Rattus norvegicus: one gene and its partners. The protein of the gene in region 1 binds, or shares a complex with, the protein of each later gene. Links are inferred from orthologs where the notes say so. Each region holds a gene or a part of one and is shown in the gene's direction. Other genes may lie near its edges. The genes, in order: Crhr2, Ucn and Gna11.

Region 1 (4,357 bases):
GTCACCCAGTCCCTATTCTGTAGAAATCTGCATGTAAAAGGGTAGGTCAGAAGTGCTCACCACCTCCTTACTGTGGTATGTGTCTCCTGAGCCATGGCTCTGATTAGGAATAAAGTCACCCGGGGCTGGGGATTTAGCTCAGTGGTAGAGTGCTAGGAGGCGCAAGGCCCTGGGTTCGGTCCCCAGCTCCGAAAAAAAGAACCAAAAAAAAAAAAAAAAGGAATAAAGTCACCCTTTGCACTTGAATTGGTTTCCTTCTTCTCTGTGCTATGACAGTATATGAAGGGCCATCCTTTGCTAGTGAAGGAGACTGCATCCCTGTGAGGACGGACTCAGCCAGTCATGCTCAGACCTAAGACTGCCGAGATTTGGACCGGAGTCCCAACTGTCCATCCAGGAGGCAGAGGACAGATCTATCTGGTAGTCTGTCTCCCTGCCAGTTGGCAGGTCCTAGAGAGAGTCCAGGGCTCAGTCTGGTCTTACCACTTGCTCAGTCTCTCACAAACTCACTTGCTGTGCGAGGGAATGAGGGCACCATTAATATGGAGGCTAGGAAGACTGTACAAAAGCAATGGCAAGTTCTTTGGAGGACCGGCCTCTTTAGGGGGGCTTTGGCCTTCACTAGCACCTGGTCCCCTATGGAGGGTGCAGGAGGACTGGACTGGTTCTAGACCCTCTTACACCATGTCTATAGATGCTCTGGACTGTGAAGGAACTCAGAAAACATGCCACTGGTGGAGAAAAGTCAGGAAGGCTCTTGCCTCAGGCAACATGACAGAAAAGAGAGGCAAAACCGCATCCAGACTGGAAAAAAAAAACACCTAGGCAGGTTCCTCAACCTAGGCCCATCCACAGTTATAGGCCCACCCTGAGCACTCTACAGGGTGCTCACCCCTCCATTCTTGTGACTTTTCTCCACTCCTCAGATAGCCCTGCTTAAGCCAGGAGAAAGAGACCTGTTTTCACCTCTCACTCTATCTGGTGCCCAGGATACTAAAACCATCAAGTCTTCCAGATAATTTTAATTAATGTCTTCCTAGATATTCTCATCTCGCTGCTGGTGGCAAATCTGCCGGTGTGAAATCTGGCGTTGTCACCAGTTCCTGGCTCCTGCTGAGAGCCATCTACCTACTCCATATTTTCTCCATCTCTCTTAGACCCTCTCTGGTAAACTGTCTGCAACCCTCCGGGGCCCCTTCAATCCATTTTCTTCCCCAGGGCACAAATCTGCTGCTGGGCCGACTTGTTGCCCCTATCCATCTCTAGTGTACTCCTTTGGGAGGATAAATTTCAGGGTCAGGAGCAGACCAACTTTGGCTGGCAACGGGTGTAGGAAGGTGGTGTGGATTTCCTGTAGACCCGAGGCCTGCGACCCTCGATCCTCGGACGGGTTATTAGCCACCCCAGACCGTAGATCGTCAGCCCTGCCACCATTCCAGAGACTTCTCTGGTCAAGAGAGCACCGACGGGGCTGGAGATAGAGCCCCGCCCCCGACGCCGCTATTGGTCATGGTCGAGCAGGCGGCCCCTCATCTCCGTGAGCCCCGAGGCTTCTCTTGGCCAAGGTCCTAGGAGTGATCCGATTGAGAGCGGCGCCCCAAAGCTGCCGGGCTGGCCGGGGTGGGCGGGGAGGCACCTGGACGCTGCACTCTCTGGTGGCTCCGCGTCGCGCCAGGTCCCTCGCAGCCACGCGGGGCGCGCACTCCCACTCCCAACGCGCGCGGCTCCGGAGCGCAATGGACGCGGCGCTGCTCCTCAGCCTGCTGGAGGCCAACTGCAGCCTGGCACTGGCCGAAGAGCTGCTTTTGGACGGCTGGGGAGAGCCCCCGGACCCCGAAGGTAGGCAGGAGGCGAGAGAAGTAGCGGCACGCGGGCTTGCTCCATGGCTTTCTTCTAGCGTTGGTCTGAGTGGGGCCCCCGTGCTCGGGCCACCCCCTTTGAGCCTCTGTGCGCTCCCTCCTGTCTCCAGGTCCCTACTCCTACTGCAACACGACCTTGGACCAGATCGGGACCTGCTGGCCCCAGAGCGCGCCTGGAGCCCTAGTGGAGAGACCATGCCCCGAATACTTCAACGGCATCAAGTACAACACGACCCGTGAGTGCCCCTTGCTTGTCTCGTGCTGGCCTCCCAGAAAGGCGGTTCAGGAAGAGGGGAGGGCTCTGAACCCTGAATTGGACACCTACCGAGGGTCTCTGTACCCTGAAGCGCTTATTTCTGGAACTCTGTAAATGTGGGGGCACACCTTCTGTTCCTAACTCTACGACCGCTTCTAACCCAGGCTAAGTGGTGGTTTGCCCAGAGTTCTCATGCTACATTTGGAAAGAACTGAGCAAGAGAATAGGAAATGCTTCCTCCCCTTAGAGGCAAGCTCCCACACTGTTTAGGTGCCTGATGTGCGTCCCTTCGGGTCTCTGTTCATTCAATCCTCTCACATCCCTAAGGCAACACAGCAGACCGATGTTAAGGCCCGAGTCCAGTACCCACAGTGTGACTAAGGGGATCAGACCCAACTACTGGAGAGGAGAGATCGGGAGGGGAGAGGGACACGAGATGAGCTCCTATATCGGGGAACATACCAATCCTAGAGTCCGGGAAGCCAGAGGAGATAGGGGATCATCATTTTCCCTAACCCCTGGCACGCACTTGGCTTGTGAGTCTGGAGCCCTGGGCTGCATTACCTCTGTTCAACCTCAGGTAACTTGTGGGTTTGGATGAGGTCCATACCTCCACCTCCCAGTTAGAACAGCCTTCAGTTTCCTTCCTCCTGGAGAGCCCCCTGAGAGGTACACTACAGGAAAAAGAAGAGGGAAGCGGAGGTTGGGGTGGAGGGGCATTCAATCTGGGGTTTGTGTCAATGTGCACATGTCAATACAAATGGAAGCCAGGGCATGGGAGTCAGGACTGAGCTCTGTGAGATTGTGGGTAGCAATAGCTCGCCCACTGGACATCCTCACCTGTCCAGCCCTACATGCTAATATGGCACTGATGAGACTCTGTGGCAAGCTGTTTGTCTATAGCCCTTACATCCTAGCAGTAGTGTCTGAATTGTGATCTACCTCCTTCACACGTGCATGTCCCAGCTCTCTGAAGGCAAGAAGACCTTCACCTTATAGGTACTTAAAGCAAGGCCACAGTGCCTGCACTAGAGCCAGGCTCTACTCCCTGGGCTCAAGGAGCAGCCTGCTCTGACGAAGCTAAGACTGGATGCTCCTAATAGAAAGGAAACATCTGTGGAGGTAGAGGTGCCACTGACGAAGGTTTCCCCATCATCCAATCAACGCCTGCTAAGCACAATTAAAACAGATCTCATTGAGAGGTAGTGAGGATCCTAACCCAGGAGGTAGGCGAGAAATGCCTTCAAGTTCCCTCTCAGGAATAGCTAATGGCATTGTATTTCGAGGAAGTGACCTCTGTAACACTGGGCAATGAAGATCAGGTACCTAATTCAGAAGCACTGAGGCTAAGGGCCATGCAGGGCAAAGGGGGAATGACGGAGTCTGAGGACGCTAATTGTGAGCTCTTACCCTGTTCCCTCCAAGCAGCCTGGAACCCCACCTGAGCACAGCACAGCATCATATAACCAATCGCTGAACCCCTACTGTGTGCCAGCTACAGCAACTATACTTACAGTATTGAGACTGCCCTTGCATTTGCACTAGACATAAGAGTACAGAGTGTTAACTGCCCTGCTTCAGGAAAATCAGGGAGCTTATGGGAAGAAGGAGAGGCAGGGACATCGCATACCAGACCCCTCCCATCAAGTCCAATGAGAAACTGAAAAAAGGGTCAGGATGCCACTGAGGTCGGTAAATGTGGTAGCAATTAGCCCTTAGTATCTAATGAACAATTTTCTTCATTTGGACCAAAGTGCTGCCTGTACCTTAGGAACACAGGTCTGGGGGTGGGGTGCTGGCTCAGAGAGATACCTAGAGCTGGGAGGGTGCAGTTGGTCAGCCCTGGCTCCTGGCAGCAGTGGAAATACCCAATAGATGCTCTTCCTACCTGGGGCCAGCCCAGCACCTCTATCTGCTGTCTTCAGCTGGCCTTCTCAGTGGGCTCCTTCTTTAAAAAGAGAAAACCACTCAGCGAGGAACCTGAGGGAAGTTCCTAATCTCATCATGTCACGGGCACGCTTTCCCTCCCCAGTTCCCGGCCTCTCAGAAGGCAGATAGTGCTTGAGGATAGGAAACGCTCTGTGGAGATGGCAGTGTCTGCAGAGGGGCTTGTGGTCTGTTAACTCCGCTGAGCACAGAACCTTTACGTGCTAATCGCTGCCAGGTGCCTGAATCACCAGAAGAGCCTACTACCCACAATTCCACTCCTGCGGCCCCCTAAAGACCCACGCTGTTTTCAGAC
Region 2 (2,706 bases), on another chromosome or scaffold:
GATACAACTTTCTGTCCAGTGTTGAGGCTTGAACCCAGCCTTGGGCATACTAGTCAAGTGCTCTAACACTGAGCAACGTCCCTAGACTAGAAAATGTTTCGTGGGGTTGGGGAGTTAGCTCAGTGGTAGAGCGCTTACCTAGCAAGCGCAAGGCCCTGGGTTCGGTCCCCAGCTCTGAAAAAAAAGAAAAGAAAAGAAAAAAAAAGAAGAAAAGAAAATGTTTCGTAATGTTTCTAGGTCCTAGTGCCCTTCCAGACCCCCCTCTGGGACTTTATAGACACACAGAAATAGATACATTATTATCTGGAATCTGCAGTGGCTGACATGTCTGTAACTAAAGTGGAGGCTTTTCATTTACAGACACCAATGATTTTGGAAGTGAGAGACCTGACCACACCTCGAGTTGATGTGAGAGCAGGAACTTGCTCACTTCCTAACTAGTGATTTCTTGTGTGTGTGTGGGGGGGGGGTGTTCAAAACTGGGTTTCTTTGTGTAATCTTGACTGTCTTGGAATTAGCTCGGGTCGGTAGACCAGTTTGGCCACAAACTCACAGTTCTGCCTGCCTCTGTCTCCCCGGTGCTGGGATTAAAGGAGTGCACCAGTACCCCCACCCCTAGTTCCTCACCTAGTAATCCTAACTAGAAGATAAAGGTATGAAGTACTATTTCTGTGGGTCCTAGGAAGTTTACTTTGGCAAACTCAGGAGGTGCGTTAAGTTCTGAAAGCCGAACGCCCTTTTATGCCATTCTGACACCTGTAGATTTTAGTTTCTACTGCTGTACCACAATGGTCAGTAGAATGGGAGGGACCTATTAGGGTGGGAGGGGCTTTGGGTGGGACTGTGTTGTCTGAGCCCCTTCCAGCACAGCATTCCTGATCTCAATCTGGGGACCCAGTAGCCGACCTAGGGAACTGTGTCTTGGCAGCCCAGGGTTCTCCCCAGAACTTCTGCCCAGATTCTTAGCCGTGAAGAAATTCAGAACCACGGACAGCTCCACAATCCTACCAATCCGTACTTGAGCAGAGAAACCAACCCCTGACTATCCTATTGTGGAGAGGCTGGTGGTGGGAAGGACTCTGTCTGCATCCGGAAAGATCTATCTTTAAGGCTCCGTCAGCCTCTCCCTCTACAGCCAGGGTGCTTCCAAAGATAGCTCCAGGGACACAAAGTCAGGATACGTGCCCCTCTGGGGGCTCGAAGCTACTGGACTCGAAGCTGCCAGTGTCACTGTTTCTACAATCAGTTCAGTTCTTCGCTGACGTCAGTCGGAGCTGTCCCGGTGCTATATAAGGCTGGCGGCGGTCCCGGGACCGACCCCGTGCTCCCCAAGGCGTCTTCAACCCGTCCCCGGGGACAGAGACTGGAGCTCCATCTTGCACTGGATAGACACTCCGATAACCTGTGAGTGGCTTGGAGCAAACGATCCAGACTCCCTTACCGCCAGGACTCTGCACTAAGCCCACCCACTTTGACCTGCCCGGAGGGAAAGGAGGGAGGGGTGGAACTGGAGTGGCACAGCGCCTTGGGCTGGTGGGCAGGTTGTGGACACCAGGCAACAGCTGGAGGGTCCTAGCGGGGACATTGGGCGTGTGCGCGAAGGGGCTCGTGTCACCTGTGACTGCTCCAAGTGCATCTCACCCTATGCTGCCCCTGTGTGTCCAGGGCAGGCGGCACCATGAGGCAGAGGGGACGCGCTACGCTCCTGGTAGCGTTGCTGCTTCTGGTTCAGCTGCGCCCGGAGAGCAGCCAGTGGAGCCCAGCGGCTGCGGCGGCGAATGTGGTCCAGGATCCGAATCTGCGATGGAACCCCGGAGTGCGGAATCAGGGCGGAGGTGTCCGCGCACTCCTCTTGCTGTTAGCGGAGCGCTTCCCGCGCCGCGCGGGATCTGAGCCTGCAGGCGAGCGGCAACGACGAGACGACCCGCCGTTGTCCATCGACCTCACCTTCCACCTGCTGCGGACCCTGCTAGAGCTAGCTCGGACACAGAGCCAGCGCGAGCGCGCAGAGCAGAACCGCATCATATTCGATTCGGTGGGCAAGTGATCGGCCCCGTATGGGGTCCAGAAAGCCTTGACCCTTTCCCCCACCTACCCCGGGGCTGGAGCGCGCACAACCGGAGCTGGCTCAGTCCCGCGTTGCAGCGCCGCCCAGAGTTACCCTGAACACTCTGACTGGATATTTTTTAATAAAACTGCCCAAGAGCTTAGCCTCTATCTTCTGTTACAGGGGTGAGGGGGCACCGGCAACCACAGTAGGGTAAGAACTTTTGGGAGAGTGGGGCTCTCCAGGCCGGTAGGAGAGACAAGCATGCGTAGTGGGATGGGAGAGGCAGCCTATCAGTAAAGTTCCTATGGCCCTTCCCCCAACCCGCCAAATCCCGGAACTCGGTGGTCTGAGACCCCAACCCAGACACCTTTCAGGGTCTCCGGCTCAGGAGGCCACCTCTGATGTAAAGGAGGTGCCACTTCGGACTATTTCACCTCCACCCCTTCAGATGGTCTGGGGTTGAGAAAGGGCAGAGTAATGGCGAGGTTGCTTCTATAGTTGAGCCTAGGAGTGGGCAGTGAAAGGAGCTGAGGACGTGGGACGTGGGACACATGAGTTCTTTATTGAGAACCATCCCTGGGGGTGGAGGCCGAGATGGGTAGCGCGATGGTCTCTGCGCAGATCCTCAGCATCCCTTGGCTCCCGGGCGTGCGCTC
Region 3 (4,332 bases), on another chromosome or scaffold:
CAAGGCTCATGGGGTTGTGGCCCTGAGCTGAAAGAGGAACTTTGACCTCACTGGGCCACACGGGGGCCCCTTGTCTGTGCCGTGAACTCCTGGGGTGGGGACAGAGGCCCAGATAGGAGAGTTTCGGTGGATAACGCTATAACCCCAATCAACTAGTAAACGGAGACTTTGACCCTCCCCTCGCAGCCTTATCTCAAGGCTGGGCGGTCAGGCAGGGACGGGGACAGGAACACATGCAGCACAGCCCTGGCTTTTAAGTTGCCTTTGTTATTAATGCACCGACTGAGCACTGACTGGAAGGTGGGAAAACACTTCTCAGGTTTGTGAGTTAGTTCACCCTTAGGGGACTCAGATTGGCCCCCCCAACAGGGAGCTTACCTGCCTGAGCTGGGGGGGGGGGGGTGTCCCAGGTTCCACCCCAGCACTGTAAAACAGCAAACATCACACATGGCGTTCACATGTATAGCAGCAGAGGCTGGTGCTTGGTATACAGCAGGCAGACTGTTAATGCTTATTCCTCAGCTGCCAGGAGCCTGATTGACAGCAGGGGCTCCATAACTATCTATATACAAACTACATATAATGTCTGGTATACAGCAGGCACAGCATTCATGTTTGGCACACGTAGTAATATGTGAAAAACACCCAGTTTATATACCCTATACTGAAGGTGACAGTTTCATATGCGTGTTCCCTTGAAGCCTGGTATACAGTAGATGTGATATTAATACCTGAGCTACAGCAGGCTGCCGCATCAACGCATACTCTCCAGCAAGCGTTTTGTTCATACTTGTTACTTGCGTGATATTCGGCGAGTGCTGCACTGTATACAGTAGGACAGGCCTGCTTAAGAATGGATGAGCGAGGGCTAGAGAGATGGCTCAGTGGTTAAGAGCTCTGACTGTCCTCTTCCAAAGGGCCTGAGTTCAATTCCCAGCAACCACGTGGTGGCTCACAACCATCTGTAATGGGATCTGATTCCCTATTCTGGTGTGTCTGAAGACAGCCATATACATTAAATAAATAATATTTAAAATTTTAAAAAGGAATAGATGAGCGACCCTAGTCAGGGCGTTTTCTCACATCCACAGGCGGTGATGGCTTCTGTGGGCGCTCCCTCCAGGCGAAAATTGCAGACTCTCTTCTCGCCTCGCGTTCCCTGCACAGCTTCGGGGAGCCGAGAGGAACCGAGAGGAGCCGAGAGGAGCCGAGCGCAACCGAGAGCAACCGAGCGGTGCCTCCCCGTGCCGAAAAGAGCCGAGTGTAGCCGAGCGGCACTTCCCCGAGCCGAGAAGAGCTTCGCTTCCCGAAAGGAACCGAAATCGGGCGGCCGAGTCCTCCCCATTCCCACAATGCTCGGCGTCCGCGCCCAGCTGCGGGCCGCTCAACCCCTTCCCACGTCGACGCAACCCAAGGTGCGCCTGCGCTGCGCCCTCCAGACCCCGCCCCCGAGTAGCGAGGCTCCGCCTCCGGGTGATTCTAGAGTCCTGTCCCTGCGGCGCGCGCGCGCGCAGCCTTGCGGCCCCTCCCATTGGCCGCGCCGCCTGCCCGTCGCGGGGCCCGTGGCAGCGCTTCAGGTCGTCGGGCGCCGGCGCTCGGTGGCGACGGCTGCGGGTGGCGGCAGCGGCGGCAGCTGCGCTGCACGGCGCGGACGGTGGACGCGCCTCTGGGGCCGGGCCAGGCCTTCGGGGAACTGGGACGAGGCAGGGCCGTGCCGGCGGCGGCCGGGGGACCGCGACGATGACTCTGGAGTCCATGATGGCGTGTTGCCTGAGCGACGAGGTGAAGGAGTCGAAGCGCATCAACGCGGAGATCGAGAAACAGCTGCGGCGAGACAAGCGCGACGCCCGGCGCGAGCTCAAGCTGCTGCTTCTCGGTGAGCTACGTCTCCGAGCTGTGGGACCTCTGTCACTGGGACCCGGTGGGTGCACGGGGCATCCGGGCCTTGCCGGGGTCTCCGCGCGCGCAGGGCGCTGTACCCGCCGCGGTCTCTGGTCTCCGGCTAGTAGCGCGCGGTGACAGCGGGGCGCGACCCTTCCAGACCACAGCCCACGGCCGGTCGGGCCACCCCGGGTGTCCTCGGGGCAACTGGTCAGCGCGTCCTGCAGCGGTCAGCCCTTCCGGGATTGCTGCACCCTGAGCGGTGCAGGTGGCTTGGGCCTGTGGTGGCCAGCTTCTTCCATGTGGTCTCCTGGGCTTAGCCTGTGCGACCCTTTGTGGCCAGCCTCTGTTATCCAGGCCTTGGATTCATTCGGGGTCAGCCTCCTGCCTCTGATATCCGAGGCCAGTTGGCCACGTCGGACCCCAGGGCCCTGGGAGACTTGCTTTCTGTCACTCCTGAGAATTCTTGTACAGAGCTTGCCCCTGGCCCTGCTGCACTAAGTAGACTCTCATTTCCATTGTCCCTAGATCGCCTCGGGTGAACCCTTTAAGCTGTCTTGCCCCCCATGATACCCCTTTGGCTTCCAGGTTCCCCAAGACAGTTCCCAAGGGTTACACCCTCTTCTCAACCTCCAAAGGGTCCTGCTTTGCTCTTGGCTTGTTCTTTTCCTGGGTACTCCCCAGTCTCCCTCTGTGTTCCTTCCATAGAGCCTCTGAATTCTTCCACATTGGAGCTGGGTGCAGGAGAGTGGGTGGCTTTTCTTCTTTGGGCTTCTGTTGCGCCTGAGCTCAGTAGGTTGACAGCAGTCAGCCTTGCAGGCTCCCTTCCCCTGTCCTGCCTCCTGGGGGTCGTCTCCCCAGCCCACCCACCCCAGGGAACTCAACATATGTCTGTCACTCCCTGGAGTTCTGACTCCTCAAGGCCCACCTGTTGCTGGGAGCCAGGGAGCCAAGGTCCTCTTGTTGTCACCCTAAATAAGAGCCCAAAATGAGGGCAGGGTGGCCTGGGCCCTGCGGGGGTTTACAAAACAGACTGGGCAGCTCTGCCTGCCCCTCCCAGTTCCCTGGTGAGCTGCAGTCCAGGGACCCAAGACAAAGGGTGGCCTTGGAGAACCTGAGGAAAGGACTGTGGGAGCCTTTGACTAGAAGGGATGGAGGGCAGTGACAGTTGAACTGTCCCATGGGAGGGGTCAGCACATGTTCTCTTCTGTTGCTGTGGCCCATGTGGTTCTCAGGGTCATGGGGCCTTGGTTCCTTCTCCCCAACATGGTGGGATTCCTCAAAATCTATGCAGATTTCCAGGAAGGGAGGGATAAGAAGAGGACAGAGCAGTCCAGAGCAAACAGCAGTAGCCCCAAGGTAGCCATCTAGGGGGCACAGTGTGGCCCTAGCTGACCTTTGTAGAGGTTCAGCAGCTTTCTGGTGGGCTCAGTGGTAGAAGCTGCCAGGTAAGGGTGACATTGGGTGACTGAGCCCAATGATGTGTCATCCCAGCTCTGTTCTGTCTCCAAAGCTGGCTTTGAAGTCCCCTCGGATTCAGGAGTGCTCCCTGGCCCTCTGTGCTGTGACCAGGCTAAGCTGACCAGCAGCTAAAGGGCCTTGCATTGACCTGCACACAGCACCATGCCTCTACCCTAGGTGATTGGATTCTTAGCTGCCACCTGTGCCCTCAGGGCACCTGTCTGCAGTCACACCCTTCCACAGGAGTCTGGGAATTACTTTATAAGAGCAGAAGGATAAAGGGAGACAGGAGTGAGCTTTGGGCACTGCTCAGGTCTTGCTGTGAGGGCTTCCTGGAGGAGGTGACCATGACCTTGGTTCTCTGGCAGTTTGTTTGTTCCAGGTATTGGGGGTGGCGGTTCTGTGAGACCTGCTCCAACCTCCTGCCTGCAGCCTCACGGTCGCACTGTCCCTCATTTCACATCAGCTGTCTGGATAGGGTGGAGACCCTGTGCCCCACTGCCTGAGGTGGAAGCAGGCCAGGATTGCTGTCCTGGAGCCTGCCCTCCGGAGCAGGCAGGGTTCCCGCCACATACCCTGAGTGGTCCCTTCGGGGAGAGCCCCACTCTGTGTACAGGATTCTGACCTCTTTGTCCAGGTTTGAAGCCACCACCCTCATACTGGGACTGCATCTGTGAGGAACGGTCCAGTCTGGGAGTTTTGTGTTCTGTCCTGTTCTGCCAGTCCCTGTGTGTCCTGGAGAGAGTGTTCAGCCAGGCAAACAGTTGACTACTGGCTTGTTCTCAGGGTGGGCGTCCTGGTCACTGCAGGGTAATGAGCTGCATCCCTAGACATCACTCAGTGTACCCAGGCTTAGACACCCCACCTTGAGCCATCCATGGTGGTAACTGATATAAAATAACCTGCAGAACTAACTGGAGGCCAGTGCAAGTTCTCAGAGCTGAGGCTACACAGGACTTTGTGCCCCTTTCCTGTAGGGTGACACTCAGG

The links.
Region 2: the proteins of Crhr2 (region 1) and Ucn are in contact, whole or in part, in a cryo-EM structure (PDB 7TS0), measured with the Homo sapiens proteins. The link is inferred for Rattus norvegicus from reciprocal best matches to the Homo sapiens genes CRHR2 and UCN. Residues at the interface, in NP_001874.2 of Homo sapiens: Phe68, Asn69, Gly70, Val71, Tyr73, Ile101, Leu102, Asp103, Asp104, Arg107, Asp110, Tyr113, Leu117, Asn120, Trp166, Leu169, Gln170, Val172, Asp173, His174, His177, Glu178, Thr188, Phe191, Asn192, Phe199, Phe256, Gly257, Lys258, Asp265; in NP_003344.1 of Homo sapiens: Asn84, Pro85, Ser86, Leu87, Ser88, Ile89, Asp90, Leu91, Thr92, Phe93, His94, Leu95, Leu96, Arg97, Thr98, Leu99, Leu100, Leu102, Arg104, Thr105, Ser107, Gln108, Arg111, Ala112, Asn115, Phe119.
Region 3: the proteins of Crhr2 (region 1) and Gna11 are in contact, whole or in part, in a cryo-EM structure (PDB 7TRY), measured with the Homo sapiens proteins. The link is inferred for Rattus norvegicus from reciprocal best matches to the Homo sapiens genes CRHR2 and GNA11. Residues at the interface, in NP_001874.2 of Homo sapiens: Arg148, Tyr208, Leu209, Ala212, Ile213, Thr216, Glu220, Lys293, Lys307, Ala311, Phe358, Tyr359, Phe362, Asn363; in NP_002058.2 of Homo sapiens: Arg37, Ile348, Leu349, Asn352, Leu353, Glu355, Tyr356, Asn357, Leu358.

The regions. Positions count from the first base shown.
Region 1 is NC_086022.1:85,578,628-85,582,984, reverse strand, and holds the start of Crhr2 (corticotropin-releasing factor receptor 2 precursor), read left to right. Parts: upstream 1-1,521; 5' UTR 1,522-1,736; coding exon 1,737-1,839; intron 1,840-1,969; coding exon 1,970-2,095; intron 2,096-4,357. UniProt on the Homo sapiens protein: G-protein coupled receptor for CRH (corticotropin-releasing factor), UCN (urocortin), UCN2 and UCN3. Has high affinity for UCN.
Region 2 is NC_086024.1:30,956,717-30,959,422, forward strand, and holds Ucn (urocortin precursor), read left to right. Parts: upstream 1-1,369; 5' UTR 1,370-1,404; intron 1,405-1,665; 5' UTR 1,666-1,678; coding exon 1,679-2,047; 3' UTR 2,048-2,200; downstream 2,201-2,706. UniProt on the Homo sapiens protein: Acts in vitro to stimulate the secretion of adrenocorticotropic hormone (ACTH). Binds with high affinity to CRF receptor types 1, 2-alpha, and 2-beta. Plays a role in the establishment of normal hearing thresholds.
Region 3 is NC_086025.1:8,812,777-8,817,108, forward strand, and holds the start of Gna11 (guanine nucleotide-binding protein subunit alpha-11), read left to right. Parts: upstream 1-1,508; 5' UTR 1,509-1,740; coding exon 1,741-1,876; intron 1,877-4,332. UniProt on the Homo sapiens protein: Guanine nucleotide-binding proteins (G proteins) function as transducers downstream of G protein-coupled receptors (GPCRs) in numerous signaling cascades.